Linked DNA regions of Elephas maximus indicus. The protein of the gene in region 1 purifies or fractionates together with the protein of each later gene. This does not show direct contact. Links are inferred from orthologs where the notes say so. Each region holds a gene or a part of one and is shown on either strand. Other genes may lie near its edges. The genes, in order: OS9 and SERPINA1.

The links.
Region 2: the proteins of OS9 (region 1) and SERPINA1 purify together in Homo sapiens (affinity purification with western blotting; 4 studies listed by BioGRID). This does not show direct contact. The link is inferred for Elephas maximus indicus from reciprocal best matches to the Homo sapiens genes OS9 and SERPINA1.

Annotation. Positions count from the first base shown.
Region 1 is NC_064822.1:117,596,999-117,607,592, forward strand, and holds the start of OS9 (protein OS-9), read left to right. Parts: upstream 1-6,124; 5' UTR 6,125-6,158; coding exon 6,159-6,320; intron 6,321-6,743; coding exon 6,744-6,920; intron 6,921-7,792; coding exon 7,793-7,856; intron 7,857-7,987; coding exon 7,988-8,064; intron 8,065-8,293; coding exon 8,294-8,392; intron 8,393-10,594. UniProt on the Homo sapiens protein: Lectin component of the HRD1 complex, which functions in endoplasmic reticulum (ER) quality control and ER-associated degradation (ERAD).
Region 2 is NC_064828.1:107,953,498-107,963,437, reverse strand, and holds the start of SERPINA1 (alpha-1-antitrypsin), read left to right. Parts: upstream 1-5,391; 5' UTR 5,392-5,543; coding exon 5,544-5,728; intron 5,729-8,719; exon of another isoform or gene 8,720-8,743; intron 8,744-9,940.

The DNA.
Region 1 (10,594 bases):
GTTAGTAGTGTTAAACACAACCCTAAAGTTCAGTGAGTCAACAAAAGTTTTTACTTGCTCATAGTAGAGCCTAGCATAGGTTGTAAGTGGTGGTGGTAGGATGCTCTGCACCACGCATTCATTCAGGAATCCAACTGACAGAGGTCCACCATCTTCAACATGTGGCAGCCAAGGTCTTTCTGGGAGTTGCTATCTACCCTGCATGTGGTGGATGAAAAAGAGTGTGGAAGAAAACACAGAGCATTTTAGGATCTAGGCATAGAGTGGTGGCCATCACTTCTGCCCATATTTCACTGGCCAGAACTGAATCATGTAGCTCTACCTAACTGCAGTATGTGTTGGTAAAGGTAGTTTATCTGTGTGACCAGGAGGAAGATAAAACTAGTTTGATGAAACATTGCATTGTCTCTACCACAACAAAGTTGCTTTTATTTATAATTTTCATGATATATCTTCTCCACATTTTTATTTTATTTTTTAAATAATTTTTATTGTGCTTTAAGTGAAAGTTTACAAATCAAGTCAGTCTCTCACACAAAAACCCATATACACCTTGCTAAAAAAAAATACACCTTGCTACACACCCCCAATTACTCTCCCCCTAATGAGACAGCCTGTTCTCTCCCTCCACTCTCTCTTTTCGTGTCCTTTTCGCCAGCTTCTAACCCCCTCCACCCTCTCATCTCCCCTCCAGGCAGGAGATGCCAACATAGTCTCAAGTGTCCACCTGATCCAAGAAGGTCACTCCTCACCAGCATCCCTCTCCAACCCATTGTCCAGTCCAATCCATGTCTGAAGAGTTGGCTTCAGGAATGGTTCCTGTCCTGGGGCAACAGAAGGTCTGGGGGCCATGACCACCCTGGTCCTTCCGGTCTCAGTCCGACCATTAAGTCTGGTCTTATGAGAATTTGGGGTCTGCATCCCACTGCTCTCCTGCTCCCTCAGGGTATATTTTTATTTTTAATTATTTTGTATCCTTACATTTTAGATGTTCTTCTCTATAAACAGTATATGTCATATTTTATTGACTCTTAGACACACACTTTTTCATATTTTAATACACTCATATTTAATACTCTGAAATTGGGATGGATCTTACAACTGATAGTACGCCGTGGGTAAATTGGTCCTGCTTATATCCTTTTCGGTGTTAGATATAATAATGGTGTTACTTGAAATAAGTGACTTCATAAATTTGGTATTTTTTTCTCATTTCATTTTTCCCTTTGCTTTGGAGGTTATACACTCTTTCCGTACTCCTTTACTGGTTATCTACAACATAAATATAAATATTTGGCTTATCGAAATCTAAACATCAGTGTTGTCTGTATCACTAAGGGTTCAGCCAGAAAAACAAAAACCACATTACATGCTGTTATGGATTGAGTTGTGTCCCAAAAAAATATGTGTTGTGAATCCTAACCTCTATGCCTGTGGTTATAATCCCATTTGAGAAAGGGGTTGCCTTTGTTATGCTAACGAGACAGGATTAATGTAGGGTATATTCTGAGTCAATTTCTTCTGAGATATAAAAACAGCTAATCAAGCAAGCGAAAGAAGCAGACATGCCAAGCTACGTGAAGATCACCCAGGAGCAGAAGCCCAGAAGAGACAAGGACTTTTCCCCAGAGCCAACAGAGAGAGAAAGCCTTCTTCTAGAGCTGGCACCCTGAATTTGGATTTCTACCCTCCTGAACTGTGAGATGATACACTTCTGTTTGTTCAGGCCACCCACCTGTGGTTTTGCTGTCATAGCAGCACTAGGTAACTAAGACAGGCTTTAACAGGGAGAATTTAATAGACAGAGTTGATGAAACAAATGTTGGAGGAATGAAAAAGCAAAAGGGAACATGGAGGTATCACAGAGGAGCAGGGAGCAGCTACTGCTCCTGGAGCTAGGGAAGCAAAAGGAAGAGACGGGGGTTATCACAACTAGAGCGTCAGATGAGGCACCCGGTAGAGCTGAGTTCCCTGGTTGTTCCTGGACCTCTGCGGGGGTACAATGAAGCTGGTTCTGGAAGAGCAAGAAACAGAAAGAAGGAAACCCATTTCTTCCTCCTCTAGCTTTCTAGTCTTTCTCCAGCAGAACTGATAGAACGTAAGAGTGAGTTGGCTGACAAAAAAAAAAAAGATGGTTTGCAGATCATCAGCCCCAGCATCAGAGTGGCATTCAGAAGGGTGGATTTGTTGTTGATTTTGCTGTTGATTTGTGACTTAGGAGACCCCATGTGTTACAGAGTAGAACTGCTCCATAGGGTTGTCTTGGCTGTAATCTTTACGGAAGCAGGCCTGTTTCCAACAGCTCGGTGCAGCGGAGTGGTTTCCAACCACCAACCTTTTGGTTACCAGCTGAGTACAAACCATTTGTGCCACCCAGGGACCTTTAGAAGGGTGGATTTGAAGATGAAACACATAGCTTAATAATTGGCACACTCTCCTTGCAGATAATTTCAAGAAAACTAGAACAAGTTGACTTGACTCACCTACCTCCTAATGTATATGTAATTGTTTCAATGAGTTTTAATTCCATCTTGATATATAAACTCCAGAATACATTACTGTTGTTGCTTTATACAGTCAATATTCATGTCAGTTTTAAAACATATTTCCCATTTTTGTTATTCTTCATTTCTTCTTATATGTCAGACCTCCCATCTAGGATAACTTTCTTTTGTCCAAAGTATATTCTTTAGAATTTTCCTTCGTGAGAATCTTCTGGCTGCAAATTCTTCTGGTTTTTGTTTGTCTGAAACTCTTTGTATTTCACTCTCATTATTGAGAGATATTTTCATGGGGCATAAAATTCCCAGTAGAACCAATTTTCTTTCAATATACTGAAGATGTCATTGACTTGTCTTCTGGCTTCCATGGCTGCTATTGAGAAGTCAGTTCTCAGTCTAACTGCTGCTCCTTTAAAGGTAATCTGTTTCTCTGGTTGCTTTTATTTATCGTGGTAAAATTTACATGCAGTGAAATGCACAGACCTTACCTGTTACAGATCAGTGAGCTTTGACAAATGTTTACACCAGTGTAACCCACATTCTGGCACCTTTTAAAGACCTGCTCTTTGTCTTTAATGTTACTGAGTTACACTATGGTATGTCTATTTACTGACTTCTTTTTATCTATCCTGCTTGAAATTTGTTAGGCCTCTTGAATCTGTGGATTTGTATTTCTCACCAGTTTTGAAAAATTCTCAGCCTTTATCTTTGCTGCATTTTTTCTCTCTTTTCCTTCCAGAATTCCAGTTAGACATGTGTTAGATTTCTGACTTTACCCTCCATATGTCTTATACTCTCTTTGTTGCTCTGTGCTTCACTCTGTATAATTTCTTCTGAACATCATTAATTCTATCTTCAACTAAATCTAAACTGTTGTTAAAATTACTCCCTGCGTTTTTTAAATGGAAAATTTCAAACACAATCAAAAGTAGAAAGTAAAGAATCATGAACCCCATGTACCTATCATGTAGCTTTAAAAATTATAAAATACGATTAATCTCACTTCATCTATATCACCACCGCTTCCCCCCAGATTCTTACAGGCATCATACCATCTTACTGGTAAATACATGAGTTCGTATCTCTAAGAGATAAGGGCTAATTTTAACATAAATATAATACTGTCCCAAAAAACATAATACTGTCCAACAAAATAATAATAATTCATTAATATCATATAATATCCAGTCAGTGCCCATTTTCCTGACATAAAAGTATTTTCATAGGTAGCTTGATTCAGGACCCAATCAAGATCTATACATTGCATTTGGTGGATACATCTCTTAGACCTCTTTCAATATAAACGGTTTTCTTCATTTCTTAAATCTTGCAATGTATTTGTTAAAGGGATTGGGACATTAATCCTGTTTTATTCCTCATATGTTAAACAATCCTGTGGTGTTTAACGTATTCTCCTATTTCCCATATTTCCTGTAAACTGGTAGCTTTATTTAGAATCTTGGTTCTGCAAGAATCCTCCATAGATTCCGTAGATTCCATGCCTTCCTCTTTTTTTAACTAACTGACTTGTTCTGATGAAATACATCTTCTCCTATCTTTCTGAAAAGCAATGTATAGAGTGTTAATATTTTAAGGGCTTGAATATCTGAAATTGTCTCAGTTCTGGACTCATAATTAAACCATAGTTTGGCTGGATGCAGAATTCTGGTTGGAAATAATTTCCCTCAGAATTTTCAAGCCATTTCTCCATTGTTTTCTAGCTTTCAGAGTTGAGAAGCCTAACACTGTTCTGATTCCTGATCTTTGTATGAAACCTGTTCTTTTTCTCTGGAAGCTTTTAGAATATTTTCTCTGTCTCCAGCATTCTGAAATTCTACAATAATGCATCTTGGTGTGGGTCTGATTCGTTGTGCTGAATACTTAGTGTATCTTTTCAATTTGGAAACACAATCCTTCCATTCAAGGAAATACTTTTTAATAATTACACTGGTCATTTCTTCCCTTCTGACTTTCTGTCTTTCTGGAGCTCTTATTAATCAGACATTCTACCTCCTGAGCTGATCCTATATATATATATATATATATATATATATATATGATTTTTCCCCCTAAAGGAGAGCAAATTTGGTCTTCTTCAACTTTATCTTCTAGTCTTTCTATTCCACTTTTATTTCTGCCTATGGTTTTAATTTCCAAGAGCTCTTTTTGCTTATCTCAATAGTAGTTACTTTTTAAAATCGCTTATTGTTGTTTTCTCATGGATGCACTCTTATCTCTCTGAGGATATTAATGTTTGCTTTATTTTGTTTTCAGGACTTTTTATTTTTATTTATTTGTTTTGTCCCTTGAAATCTGTTTCCTCTCATTTGCTTGTTTTGGTCTCTTTCTCGTATAGTAAAGGTTTTCCTTAAATGCCTAATGATCCTTGGGCCTCTGCTTTTATCTAAGAATGAGCACATTAAAAGGCTCATTGGAAAGTCCATGTACGGGATAGGAATGCAGGCCAATGGCTTAACTGTAGGATTGGTTCAGCTATTTCACTGAAGGAATCCTGATGAGAGTATCTTGGGATTTCTCCCCCTGGCTGGTCAGATTCGCCAGAGAAGGTTTTTCAATGCCCTGCCTGGAGGTACAATCATGCCCTTGTTTACCTCTGTTGAGGAATCAACTTTCTCAAGTCTGCAAAGCAATTATCATTTCTCCATTTGCTTTCCAGCTTCCAAAATGTTACTGTTGTTGTCTCCTTTCTTTTTCTCTTTCTCTTTGTTTGATACAAATTACTAGATTGTCTTAAAGTTGTATGTATATATGAAAAGAGGTATGCTTCTGTACAATACCACCACCTGTCTCTGCCAGTTTGTCACGCTGTGGTGGCTTGCCTATTGTTATTGTGCTGGAAACTATACCACCAGTATTTCAAAAACCAGTAGGGTCACTCATGGTGGATAGGTTTCAATGGAGCTTCCAGACTAAGACTAGGAAAAAAGCCCTGGTGATCTACTTCCAGAAAATTAGCCAATAAAAACCTTACGGATCACAAGAGAATACTGTCCAGTATAGTGCTAGAAGGTGAGCACCCTAGGTCGGAAGGCATTATACAATAGCCACAATAATGAACTCAAACATATCAACTTTCACGAAGATGGCGCAGGACCGGGCAACGTTTTGTTCTATTATATATAAGGTCACACCACAAGTCGGAGCCAACTGGACGGCAACTAACAAACAAGTCTCTACAATAATTGTTGGGCAACAAATATTAAGTAACTTCAACGGGCATCACGCCCACCTGCCCTTCGGCCTAAATCCTCCGCCTTGCTGGGGCCTACTACAACGCAGAAGATATCCACCGAAGTAATAAGAGACGAATACAACGTCCGGGCGAAGGCCAGGCAGCCGCTGCAAAAGGCCGAGGGCAAAGACCGCACAGCCTGGAAGCGAAGAGAGGGTGGAAGGGGGTTTGATCTTGTCGATGATTGGTTGGCCTCTCTGACCAATCAAGTGCAGCGAGTGATTGGCCATTAGTTGTGATCCACCACCCGGTGAGCTTTGTAGTCATGCTTACAAATGGGAATAAGGTACGTAAGAGGGACAGCACTTATAGCCAATGAAACCTTGTGTTATTAATGGGCGGGATGAAGCCCCTGCCAGGTTTAGGGCGGAAAGAGTTGCTCGGGATAAGAAGGGGAACGAAAGATGGCGGCGGAAACGGTGCTGTCCAGTCTTTTGGGGCTGGTGCTTCTGGGGCTCCTGTTACCCGCAAGTCTGACCGGCGGTGTCGGAAGCCTGAACCTGGAGGAACTGAGTGAGATGCGTTATGGGATTGAGATCCTGCCTTTGCCTGTCATGGGAGGGCAGGTGAGGAGGCATAGAGGGGGGCGAGGATCCGGGATAGAAGAGAAAAATGTAGGGAAGGAAAACAGCTGCGGAGTCTGGGGCAGAAGCCTAAGGAGAGTCGAGAAGAGTAGAATGGGGTTTATGATGATTTCTGGGAATCACAGACTGAGCCCATCCCTTGGGGCCAGGGGCTGGGAGGGTGGGGCTTCCCGCTGTCAGCCTCCAGGTCCCAGTCCCTGATGAACACTCACTTGACTCCGCCCGGATGGCCAAGTGGGAGTGTTCTCTCCCCTCACCCACCGAGCACAGCTGGAGGACTTGTGGGTTCATTCTGTCTCCAACTGGGCTTTTCCCCAGGGTCTGAAGAGGAATCTCATTGTTCTGCCTGATCCTAGCCTCTCTTTGCCTCCCTGCTCCCCTACCCCCACCCCCCTGCTTTCCCAGAGCCAGGCTTCGGACGTGGTGATTGTCTCCTCTAAGTACAAACAGCGCTATGAGTGTCGCCTGCCAGCTGGAGCCATTCACTTCCAGCGTGAAAGGGAGGAGGAGGCACCTGCTTACCAAGGGCCTGGGGTCCCTGAGTTGTTGAGCCCGATGAAAGATGCTCCTTGCCTGCTGAAGGTAAAAGGGACTGGAATGGATGGAACAGGGCTTGGGCACTAACAGACCATGCGAGAACCAGAGTGCTGGTGAATGAGGAGGGATCTAGAGGACCTGTAGGAGTTAAGAAGGCTGCTGGAGGAGTAGACATACAGACAGGAAAGGAGCAAAGAATCCTGCAACCACCGATGTGGCTCTGCCAGTGTAGAGGAGGGTTAGGATAGGAGATCTCAGAATAAGGGCTAAACAAAGATTGAGGTGCCTAAAGAGGGGCAGTGTGGGATAGGAAGGGCACCTCCTTAGAGAAGCCTTCCTAGTAAACCCTAGCAAAGTCACCTCCTGCCCCAGTCACTCTCCATCCCACTATCCTATTTTCACCCTAGCACTTTTTTCTGAAATCATCCTGTTAACAGAATCATCAGTTTGTTTATTTATTTACTTATTTTTGGTCTGCTTCCCTGCACTGGAATGTAAGTTTCATGAGGTCAGGGAATGTGTCTTGTTCACAGCTGTATCCCTAATGTCTAGAACAGTGCAAGGGATGTTGTAGACAGTTAATTAATATTTGAGATTGGGGTCTTCTATGTTTCCCTGGTCTGAGTGCTTCAAGGATACCATGATTCTTTTGTCTTTACTGAGGGTAAAGAAGGATTTAAATATATATGGAAGGAGTGGAAAGACCACAGGTGGGAAACAGACTTTAGAGGTACCACCCCAAGCCAGAGAAAGAAAACAGTGCTGTCTGCTCACTGAGAATTTGGGGAATTGCATGTGGACTTGGAGAGAGATATCAGTAGATGAGAAGTTGTATGTCCTGGAGCCAGGAGAGATTCTGGTTCCCAGGTGACACATCCCCACTCCATCCCCCTGATTGTCCATTTTTTTATTGTCAGACAAAGGACTGGTGGACATATGAATTTTGTTATGGACGCCACATCCAGCAGTACCACATGGAAGGTGACTCCCTTCTCTGTTCTCCCTAAGCCCTCAGCCACATGTTGTGGCAGGTGACCTGACTCCCCAGTCCCCTTCCCTCCTCGCATCTCTCAGAAGGGAGTAATGGTGCTCCACTGTGATTACTTTTGCAGATTCAGAGATCAAAGGCGAAGTCCTCTATCTTGGCTACTACCAATCGGCCTTCGACTGGGATGACGAAACAGCCAAGGTGGTAGAAGTGTGGGATTGGGAGGGAAGGGGGTCCTGGCTGCATCCTGAGAGCCCTGGCTTAGGGTTAGAATTGGCTAGCATATTTTCGGGACTTGGTGGCCATTAGGACAAAGGCCCCTGGGGCCTGGATTCCCAAGGCCTGTAAGGTCCCCGTGGGGGGTTAGTGCTGTTCTTCCTCCTTGCTAACTTTCTCGTCCCCCTTCTCTCCTGCCTGCTATCCTTTCCAGGCCTCTAAGCAGCATCGCCTGAAGCGCTATCACAGCCAAACCTATGGGAATGGGTCGAAGTGCGACCTCAATGGGAGGCCCCGGGAGGCCGAGGTTCGGGTGAGTCTTGAGAGAGGAATGTTGACACTCCCTCAGTGACAATTCAGATTCCAAGGAAAGAGGGCAGAGTTGCATCTTATGGTCAAGTGAATCTCTCCCAGACAGACATATTTCAGTTGCCAGCTGGATGTTGCTACATGGATGTTCAGAGGTTCTTCAGGTCAACAATTCCTACATCTTCCCCCTAGCATCCCCAACCACATTTACTCTTTTTTCCATATTTCTCTTTTCTGTCGCCTGAACTAGAAACCTGAGTACCATCCTTGACTCTCCCTTCTCTTTCATGTCATCCTTCCTTTCTTCAGTTAAAGACTCTCCAGTAAGCTCTTGCTGTATGTAGGTCCTGGGCTGGGGTCTGGGGACACAGTGGTGGGCAAGCAGACGCATCCCTTGCCCTCTTGGAAGTCATGTTAGCAAAAGAACCCCAGAAAGGAGCCTATGATTACAAACTGAGAAGTGATATGAAGGAGCTTAGTTCTCTGAGAGTAAATAACAAAGCCTATGCATTCTACTTCTAGATATCTCTCAAAACTCTTTGTCCCTGTGGTTGGTACCTTCACCTCCCTCCTGCATCACTGCCCACACCCTCTTAACAGGTGTTCCCGATCTAGTGGTCCTTAACTAGGGGGGTGGGCCCGCAGGTGTATGTTAAAGGTCCTCAGGTGATCCTAATGTGTATTCACAAACACCGTAGAGACCCACATGACACCTACCAGAGTTATTGTTCTGTAATACAGATTTGCATTTGAGGTGGTGTGCTGCAAGTGTTGAACACCCAGATTTCTAGGGGGGCAAAGCCCTGATTTTTAGTGTTTGCCAGTTTCAAGCTATCAGTGTGACATCAGTTGGCTTGCAAAATCTCTGAAAATTTACCAGTCAGCTCTTGTGAGCTAGTGTAAGCTGGCTTCAGAACATCACTGTAAGCACAGGTCACTTCTCTGCCCAGTCCTAGAAAACCTTCAGTGATTGTGCGTTGTCCGAAGGATGAGGTCCAAATGCCTCACACAGACCAGGGTGGTGCCAATGGTGGCACTGAAAAGTGGATGGCTTCTGCATATATTTTGAAGGTAGAACCAATAAGACTTGTTGATAGATTGGATGTAGGGTGGAGTCAAAGCTGGCAGTCATCAACATATTGGTTATGTTATGGATGAAAATCCCTCAAAAGGTAGTGTCAAAGGTTTTTAGCCTGAGCGACTGGAAGGATAGAATTGTCATTTATTAAAGTGGGTAGGAGTGGGTTTAGGGGAGGAAATTAGGGGTTAGTTTTGGATACATGAAAGTCTAGATGTCTATTAGACATCCAAGTGGTGATGTCTAGTTGGTAGTTGGCTCTGTGAGTCTAGAGTTCAGGTACTTGGTCTGGGCTGGAGATATAAATACTGCATTTCTGCCACACTGGCCTTCCTTCTATCCTTTGACCCAGTGGTTCTCATTGTTCCTTCTTCCTGGAGCAGTCTTTCCACAGATCCTGGAGTGGCTGGCTCCATCCCCTCATTTAGGTTATATTCAAATGATACCTCCTTAGGGAGATCTAATGTAGACACACACACACCTCTGTCCTGGTTCTTGTAAATACCTACTATGTTTAATATTCTTCAAAGCATGTATTATCATCTGAAGTTATCTTATTTGTTTAATATCTGTCTCCCCCAACTAGAATAAGCTCCAGGAAGGCAGGGACAGTGTCTGTCTTGTTTCCTGCTGTATCTTCAGTGCCTGGAACAGTACCCAGCACCAACGGGGTGCCCAGGAATTATTTGTTGAATGAGTGGAATGGATAAGCCAGTTCAAATGTCACTTATTTTCTGTGACTTTTCTTGACAAACCCAGAAAGATAGTTGTGTTCCTTCAGCGCTTCATATGTGTACACCCACATGCACATATACACACAGGCATCCACACAGGTAAATAATCTGTCATAGCACTTACTTCATTGTATTCTAATTATTTCTTTGGGTGTTTGTACCTTTAATAGGCCAAGAACAGGGAGCCCTGGTGGTGCAGTGGTTAAAGCCCTTGGCTGCTAACTGAAAGGTTGGGGGTTTGAACCCACCAGCTGCTCCACGTAGGAGAAAGACGTAGCAATCTGCTTCCATAAAGATTACAGCCTTGGAGACCCTGTGGGGCAGTTCTACTCTGACCTATAATGTCCTTATGAGTTGGAATTGTCAGTAGTGGGTTTGGTTTGGTTTTGGAGGC
Region 2 (9,940 bases), on another chromosome or scaffold:
AGACATTCACAGGTCCCAGGAATTAGTATGTGAACATCTTCATATAATGGGGACATTATTGTGGCTACCAAAAAGGTATTGCCAGGAGAGTGGCCGAAGGGATGGACCATGAGATTTAAGCTGGTCACTCCACACCATTTCCATCTGTCTACTACGGCCCCAGAAGGGCCAAGGGCACGTGGGAGGGAGCAACCAAGATGTGATTTTAGATAAAGAGTTGATATTAGAGGTCTCAGATTGAAGGCCAAGGTGCAGCCATGACCGTCTGTGGTGGGGAAGAGTAAGAAACAAATCTTGGAAATGAGATGGACAGAAGGCAAGAGGCCAGGGGCTTAGAGGGGCACCCATGAGGACACTGAGTGATGCCAGAGAAGACCAGGCCGGGCCCAGGTGCCCATGTCCAGTGATGCTGGGGGTGATCCCACCACCTGTCTGTCAGTTTGTCCCACTGTGGTGGTTTGTGTGTTGCTGTGATGCTGAAAGCCATGCCCAGGTATTTCAAATACCAGCCAAGTTACCATGATGGACATGTTTCAATGGAACTTCCAGACTAAGACAGACTAGGAAGTAAGGCCTCGCAACCTGCTTCGAAAAATCAGCCCATGAGAACCCTTCAGATCACAATAGAACATTGTCTGATGGAGTGCTGGAAAATGAGACCCTCAGGACTGAGCAACATTTTGTTCTGCTGTACATGAGGTCACCAACAACCACAGGGTGTGATGCACAGGCCTGTGGATGTCAGGGGTGAGGTTGGGAGAGCATGGGGCCATCCAGGGAGGCTGTGTAACTGCAGGAAGAGGAGAGGTTGGGAGAGCATGGGGCCATCCAGGGAGGCTGTGTAACTGCAGGAAGAGGAGAGGTTGGGAGCCAGCAGGGAGGCCGGGAGAATCAGACCTGCTCTTGCACCCAGGGAATGGTGCCATTTGCTTGTTCCTGGCATGGGGACATGTGAAGAGAGTCCCTATCCAACGGAGCAGGGAGGGTTGGCAGAAAGAGATCTCAACAGTAAATGAGTCCAGGGAATGTTGGAGAGCAAACAACCCCCACTGGAGAGGACTCGAGGAGAAGCAAGCTTCTCTGGGGGAGTCGGGGCTCACTATCTGTGAGTACACAGGAGGAGGAACAAGGGGTGACAGGGGCCTGAGCCCCAGAACAGAGAGGGGCGACAAGGAGCAGCAACAGGAAAGATGTTATGCAACCCCCCATCCGGCATTTCATCATCTCAGATGCTGCCAGCCAGCTGTGGACCTGCCTTCAGAGAGTTTATTCCTTCCTGGCATAGGGGGTGGTGAGGGGTTGGAAAGAGATCCTATCCAAGGAGGTGGGAAGGATGGACAGAAAGAGACCTGAACAGGGAGTTCAGAGATCTGATTCCAGCCCCAACACCTTCCTGGCTCTCACCCCATATGTCAGCCCTCCGACCTGTCATCCATCTTTCTGCCCCTGCCTCCTGTTCATCTCTCATATCCACGTCTCCTCCCTCCCCGGATTTCTGGAAGAGCCTCCATGTTCCCCGGCTTGGCCCTCACCAGAGCGTGAGTTCCAGACAGTGGGGACCATGTCTTCTCACCTTTGCAAACCCAGAGCCTAGTGCAGTTGCTGGCACCCAACAGGAGAGCAACACATGATATTTAGAGAGTGAATGAATAAATGAGCAGGTACACTAATAGATGGGTGAATGTAAGGAAGACAGCCCTATGAGCTGATTATAGATGTAGGAAGGAAGGACATGTAGGAAGGAAGGGAAGGCAGGAGGGAGGCAGGTTGGCTGCATTTTCAGCACTGTGGTAGCGGTCTGTGCCTCAGTTTCCCCATCCACACTAAGGGGAGAATAATGGCGCCCACCGCAGGGGATTGCACGTGAATACACATAAAGCATCTAGAACAGAGCCCAGCAGGTAATAAGCACCTGAGAAGCATCAGCTGTGATGCAGGTGATGATAGACCGCACACGGGAACACTTTGGGGATTTGTATTATAAAATGTGAGCAAACAGAAATGCTTAAAGTCAACATGAAGGGAAGTCAACAACGGGGACTGAACCGCTTCAACCCAAGGTCGTGAGGCAAGTTCTAGACGCCCTATCGCTCCCTGTTATCTGAGCCGCCCACACAGGACATGTGCCTCTGAAAAACAAGTCTCAATGTCCTGCTGGGTCTCCATGTTCCCCTCGGGGGTGAGTCCTGTCACCCAGCCCTGCCTGTGCCACCCCTCCCTCTTCCCTTCCAACAGGGTGCCCCAGAGAGGGTCAAGGACAACACTCAATGTCCAGGGGCCGGGAACGGTGAGGATGGGCTGGGACATGGTGCCCTGACTACAAAGCCCGCATGTATGCTCCAGAACGTCGTACAAAGAGCCTGCTGAAAGGAGAACAGAGAAAAATTAAAGGGGCTCCTACTGGCCGAAATATGAAACGGGGAACACCAGAAGGGAAATGATCATGACAGTTAAACAGGACAGGTTGAGTCTCCTAAAAGCTGCGAGTCCATAATGGCACTCAAAGGGTAAAATTACAGTGTTTTATTGTACTTAGGTGCACTGAGTCAGTTCCAACTCATAGCGACCCTGTGTACAACAGAACCAAACACTGCCTGGTCCTGTGCCATCTTCCTGATCATTGTTATGCTCGAGCCCATTGTTGAATCCACTGTGTCAATCCATCTGGTTGAGGGTCTTCCTATTTTTCACTGACCCTCTACTTTATCAAGCATACTGTCCTTCTCCAGGGACTGATCCCTCCTGATAACGTGTTCAAAGTATGTAAGACAGTCTCGCCATCCTTGTTTCTAAGGAGCATTCTGGTTGTACTTCTTCCAAGACAGATTTGTTTATTCTTCTGGCAGTCCATGGTATATTCAGTATTCTTCACCATCACCACAATTCAAAGGCGTCAACTCTTCTTTGGTCTTCCTTATTCATTCTCCTGCTTTCCAAATTACAGTGCAGGAAAGGTTAGTTATAATAGAATGCTTATTTTATTTATTTTACTGAGTGGGGGATGAAACTATAAATGTACGTTTTATTCCTTCTATTAACTATATTGTCCCTTACAACGCACCGATATCTTTATTTTTCTCTATCTGCGTAGGCTGAGGAATGAAAACAAGGAACTCTGAATTTGTCGGATAGTTTCAGAAAGTTCAGAAATTGTACCAAGTATAGGAAGCAGCGCTGGAGGTTGAACACAGGAAGGACCAGGGTCCGCCTGGATGTTGCAAGTTGGCAGGTTCACAAGAGTGCCAGGAGGAGGCGAACCAAGTGTGCAAACGCTCTCCATCCCTGGTAATAGCCCTAGTAATTAAAGTGCGTTCTGAGAAGGCAGCCACGTGTCAACCATGCCGGCACAATTGTTAAATACACACAGGCAGCACCTTAAAGCCACCTGTGAGAAAGAGACTCTTATTGTCCCCATCTTACAGATGAGGATGCTGGGGCTCAGCAAGGCGAAGCAAAGCCCTTCCCCCAGTGAGTCCCAGGCTGCCCGGCTTCCGCTGCCCCAGGCCCACCTGGCTACATTGCACCTCACAGGTGCTCAGGTAGACGCTAGTTGCATCTCCAGGAAGCAACATGAACACAGGCCCCTGGAGAAAGGATGGGTGGCCTTCTCAGATAAGTGGAAGCCTGAATCTGAGGAGGCATCCCTGGTCTAAGAGAGATGCTCCCAAATGGGGACCAAAGGCAGGGGTCTTTCTCCCACTCTCAGGCCTCTGGGATCCACCTGAAATCTTTTCCAGACCAGGGTACATTCCCATAGACCATAACAGCAGTTGGCATTAACTTGGGGCCATGTGCCAAGACTGCCCTAAGGGCTTACATGTTATATAACCCTCGTGGAAGTGAGTGACAGTTCATATGCCCATTTTACAGATGAGGAAACTGAGGCACAGAGAGATTACAAGGCTTGTCTAAGATCATGCAAAAAGAAAGGGGTGGAGTTAAGGCTTGATAGCTTAGCCCCTGAGTCTGTGCTTAACAGACCCTGGAAACGGGAAGGAAATCTGAGAGGGAGGGCATGTGGTGTGTGTGTGTGTGTTGGGTGGGGGGGCAGTACAGGCTGGTTTCCACACTTTCCTGCAAATGGGTTCAGCTCCCCTGAAATCCAGGGGACTCCTGAGCAATCGACGATCCTTGGTCCTTGGTCTACTTGGCCCAGGACCCTTCTTCAGCACACTCCACTCCTCACTTTCCTCCTTGTTGGAGACTCGGCATCTCAGCTCTCAGGCCTCTCCCTATCCTACACAGTGGGGCTCCCATTCCTTTGCAGGGCCCTACTGGAGACCCTGCTTGGTGTAAATAGTAAAGCGCTCAACTATAAACTGAAAGGTTAGTGTTTGAATCTATCCAGAGGTGCCTAGGAAGAACGGCCTGGTGATATAAAAAAAGGTGATATACTTCTGGAAAATCAGCCATTGAAAACCCCTAAGGAGCGCACCTCTGCTCTGACATGCGTGGGGTCGCCGTGAGTCATTGAAAACCCCACGGAGCGCACGTCTGCTCTGACCTCTGCTCTGACATGCGTGGGGCTGCCCCGAGTCACTGACAACCCCACGGAGCGCACGTCTGCTCTGACCTCTGCTCTGACGTGCGTGGGGCCGTCGTGAGTCACTGAAAACCCCACGGAGCGCACGTCTGCTCTGACCTCTGCTCTGATGTGCGTGGGGCCGCCCGGAGTCACTGACAACCCCACGGAGCGCACGTCTGCTCTGACCTCTGCTCTGACGTGCGTGGGGTCGCCGCAAGTCAGAACAGACTCGACAGCAACTGGTTTTGTTTTGCTTTTTATGTTTTTACGGAGGGGCAGAGTCTCCCCAAATATCCGTCTCCAACCTATCCACACGATTTCCCGTGGTGCGGTCGTGCCCGGGGAACCCACCCAGGCGATGCCACAGGCAATTCCAGAAGGGACCCAGAGAACAAGATTCTCTCCCCCACCCCCTGCCCCATGGCCTCTGGGTCACGGGGTACAGTGTCCTTCGGTATTGGCCACTAACGCCTCCGTGTACTCTGTCCTTGTTCATTTTCCCAAATCACCCCACTCCTTCTTCTCAGGATGGGTACCCAGAGTCACTTCTGCAGCATAAAACACTAGGGGGAGAGTGGGAGTGAGGATGGGGAGATGAGGAAGCGCTGGGGATACAGCCCGGGACCCCTCACTCTCCCCTGCTCTTTCCTCATTCCTTCTGTAAATGTCCCCCCATCTGCCATCTCTCCTGCTCCTGCCAGGCTCTGTGATACACTCCTCTCCCCTGCCACACACCCATCACAGCCTCCAGGGGGCTCCCATGAGCATTTCAGGGGTGCCTCCGCCCTCTTCCCTCTGCAGCTGACCCAGGCACCTGCCAGATACCCTGTTCTAGGCCCTGAGCCAGGAGGGTGATGCCTGTCATCTCCATTAATCCCGAGCGGGTGTGGTCAGCCCTCTTACAGAGGCCCAGACCAGCCGGTAAGTCTTCCTGGGCCACAATGCTGGACCAACAGGGCAGCTGATAACGCGCAGGCCTGCCCAGGCTGAGAAGGGTGGGTCTGGCATCCACCTGGCAATGACAGCTTTGTGCAAGGCAGCATCCTGCCCCTGTGCCTCCACCCTCCCAGACCCGTGGCCTCCACTGCCACCGCAGCCTCCTTCCTCCTGGCCAGCAGACACTCACGACTTCCCCACACCAGCTGTGGAGGAAGAGGGATTGGACCACTGCAGGAGGCGCGTCATGCCCGCCAGGAATTCAAGGTACAGGGGGTGGTACCCTCTAGCCAGTCCCCAGGCCCCCTGGGGAAGGGCGCGGGGGGGGGTGCCTGCCAAGAGACCATTGCCCATCCAATACAAGAGTTGGGAGGGGCAGCTGGGCTTCGAGGTTGTACAGATGGGGAAACTGAGGCCCACAGAGGGGCAGAAGCTTACCAAGAAGGTATTGAAGGCACATCTCTCCAAGATGTGACGGGATATAAAATCCTGGGGGGATGCCCACTTGGCTAGATCAGGGGACAGCAGAAACACTGAAGCCAGGTGACAAAGCTGGGGGGTCCTTGCCTCTCTGAACCTCAGTTTCCCACTTCTGTAAAGGCAGGGGTACACACCACCTCCAGGGGTACTGTGAGTACTGAATGAGAGAATGCCTGGCATGGGGTCCAGCTTCCTGGAAGAAAGTTCTTAGAATGTCCCCCACCTCTAGTCAACCCCAAGACTCTCCACCCCACGACCACCTCGAGACGTCCCACCCCACCAGTCACCCCAATGCCCCCCATCCCACCAACCACCCCGATGTCCCCCACCCCACCAGTCACCCTGAGGCCCCTCACCCCACCAGTCGTCCTGAGGCTCCCGACTTCACCAGCTACTCTGAGGGCCCCACCCTATAAGCCACTCCGATGCCCCCACCCCACCGGTCACCTTGAGGCCTTCCCTGAGCACCAGCAGCAGGGTTTGTGGGTAAGGCAGCAGGGAGACCCTCCACACTGGGCAAGGATTAAGTGGGAGCCCTGGTCAGCATCAGAGAAGGCCTATTGTGCACATGTGACACTTGGCCCCGGGCTCAGCTTGAATGGCTACATTTAATCCTCACACTGCCCAGTCAGGTAGACACTGTCCTGGTTCCCATTCTACAGATGGGGAAACTGAGGCATGGGAAGGTTAAACAATGTACTTCAGGTCTCACAACCAGCGGAACCATATCCCCATTTTACAGATGAGGAAACAAGCACAGAGAGGCCCAGCGGCTTATCTGTGACCACTCAAAAAGGGAGGGGTGGAGTTAAGGCTTCAACCCACATAGCTTAGCCCCCAGGGGCTCAGCATTCAAACCCTGCCAACCTGGCTCTGACTCCCTGGTCTGAATGTTTTTGCTAGAGACAGAACCCCAAGGGGAAGGCAAAGTGGAGACTGAGGGAAGGAGAGAAGGAACAATGACACAGTCATCCATTAGCTCAGCAAATGTCTGCTTAGTGTGCTTAGTGCCACGGTGCCAGACTCAGGTGCACACGGACAGAGCAGAGCAGCTCCCGCGCGGAGCGTGTGTACAGAGATCAGCCACGAGTGTCGAGGGGTCCTCAAGTGTCTCCACGGTGCAAGCGCAAAGGGAGGGGGGCAGAGTGGGGGTGTGGGGTGATGGGTGCTGGCTTATTCAAAGGGAAAAACCTTTGTGACCGGGGGAGGTTTGAGTGCAGGTTTGAGCAGAGGCCTGAAAGAAGTGGGGGAAAAGTGTGCAGGCAAGGGGAACAGCCAGTGAAAATGCTCTGAGGCTGGAGCAGGCCTGAGAGGCTCCAGGGACAGCAAGGAGGCTGGCATGGCTGGAGCAGAGTGAGCATGGGAGAGGGTGCCAGGAGGTGAGTCGGAGAGGAAGGGGGCTCCTGGAGGTGTGGGCCACTGGGAAGGACTTGGGCTTTTTTCTCTGTGCAAGACAGGAGCCATGAAGCGTTTGCACAAGGTGCGATGTGATCTGACTTAGGTTTTTCAAGGGATTACAAGCAAGTGGAGCTGAGACTGGGGCTGGGGTCCTTCCGGTCTTACCCCCTAACACTCTCCCAACCACCATAGGGCACCCAAGGGCCTGCAATAGCCCCAGGGCTGAGCCACATTCCCAAGGAAATGGGAGCAGTCTCTGGGTGGCACAAACAGTTAAGAGCTTGACTATTAACCAAAAAATTGATGGTTCCAACCCACCTAGAGGGGCCTTGGAAGACAGCCCTGGTGATCTGCTTCTAAAAGGTCACATTTTTCAAAACCCTATGGACCAGTTCTACTCTGCAAGCACGGGGTCGCCATGAGTCGGAATCAACTCGACGGCAACCGGGTATTTTTCGTCTGTGGGTCACGTTGGTCTGCCTTGAATTGGGCCTCCTTCTGCTCAGAGCAGCCTGGAGATAAAGAGCCTACTGTGTGTCAGGGACTTTATATAAGCTGCTTTGTGTGGTCCTGGCAACAACGCTAGGAGGTGGGAGTGCCAACCAGGAGGCAGATAATGCATGAGGCAGATGAAAACACCCCCAGGATCAGAGAGGTGAAGCAGCTTGCCTGAGGCCACACAGCTCTTCGGTGGCAAATCCAGGCAAGAGTTGACCAGGATCAGCCTCACCCCAAAGCCAGGCTATCTTTGCAGATACACTCTGAGACCCCTGGCTGTGCCCACGGGTACCCCACGTCAGACTGATGTGGCCCTGTCAGCCCTGTCCTGCAGACCTGCCCCACCCTCTCCTCAGGGAAATCGCGAGCCTCTTTGTATCTGACGCTGGCTTGGTGACTTTGGATGAGTGGCCTCTCCTCTCTGGGTCTCAGTTTCCCCATCTGTCAAATGGGCTAATAACATGCTCTGACACCCAGGGCAGCAGTGAATCTTCAGCCCCAGGCGTTTGGAGGTGGCTGGCTAAATGGCAGCTCCTGCTCTCCGAGGACAGGGCAGCCACCAGGATTCAGAGCGGGGGCGTGGGGCTGGCAGAGCGGTGCTGTCCCAGGAGTCCCTGACTCATCCCACCCCACCTCAGACACAGCTGGTTTATGAGCTGAGAACAATGATCCTCTGTGGTGTGTGAAGTGGAGGGCTGTGCACTGCCCAGGTTGAGCCCATGTGCCTCGGTGCCTGGCCAACGGACTTTGTCCCTGTTTGCTCCTCTGATAACTGTGGTGACCTTGGTTAATAATCACTAGCAGCCTCCCCCCACTTGCCCCTCAGCGCCCACTGCTTAAATACAGACGAGCACAGGGCTCTGTCTCCTCAGCCTTGGTCAACACCTGGCCCTGGGACAGTGAGTCGTGAGTATGCCTTCTAATGGGGAGAGCCTCCAGGCGGGTGAGGGGATAGCCAGAGGCCCCAGGAGGATGGAGCTGGCTGGGTCTAGGCCCCCTGTCGCCATAGCAATAGCAGCCCTGGGGGGGCTCCCCCATACCTACCAGTGAATGAGCAGGCAGATGTGGAAGTGGGTGCTGGCTCCGCTGTCTGGGGACCCCAGGAAGGGCGAGGGCCAAGCTACAGCGGCAATGACAGTGAGAGCAGGCGTTTGTCTGCACAGCTCCGGCGCCTTTCAGGGTTACCTCCTTTTAGCCTCTCAGCCTCCCAGTGCTTGGCCACCATCCTCCTCCTCTTCTACAGATGAGGCGCTAAGGTGCAGAGAGGGGCAGTGCTGAGCCCAGGTCACTAGGGACCTGGGCCAGGAGCCTACCTGTCATCCAGGTCTCCATCATCTCCAGACATGCCTGAGAAACAGTACTGCGCTAGCCTGGGCCTGCAGGCATCGGTATGGGTCTCCCCCAGGCACGGGGGCCGCTGGGCACCCCTCAGGCACGGGAACATTGGCACGGGATGCCATCGTCAGGACTCCAGCTAACCTTTCTGAGTGCTTATTCTGGGTCTGGCAGCTGCTGAGCTCGGTGCAAAAATTAGCCAATTTTATCCTCACAACAACCCTCTGAAGTGGCTACTGTGATTATTCCCACTTTATGGATGAGGAAATTGAGGACAGGGAGGTTAAGAACTTGCCTCAAATCACACCCTGTTTGGGATTCAAACTCAGGCCGCCTAGCTCCTGACCCGGCCGCACTGCCAGCATGCTTCTCAGGCACAAGCTGGGGAACCAGAGCCTCGTCTATCCCTGGGGCCTCTCCAATGCTCAGTGACCTTTGACAGTTGCTCAACCGCCCTGTCCTCTTGTACAAAACGTAGATAACCTTTGCCCTCCCTCCCCTACACCTCTGCCCTCACTTGGCCCTGATCTCTGAGTGTTGAAAGGATTTGATTTTTCTGCCGTTGGTTTTTGGAGTTGGGCTACAAAGATGACCAAGGCCAGGCAGGCCAGGCTCCCCTATAACGCCTGGGAAAGGTCCACGGCAACACCCAAGGCTTCTTGAGGGCCTCCTGAGTGCCTGGCACTTCTCAGCTCTCAGTGCGTATTTAAACTGCACAACCAGCCTGTGAGGGGGGCGTACTCTTACCGTCTCCGCTTCACAGACCAG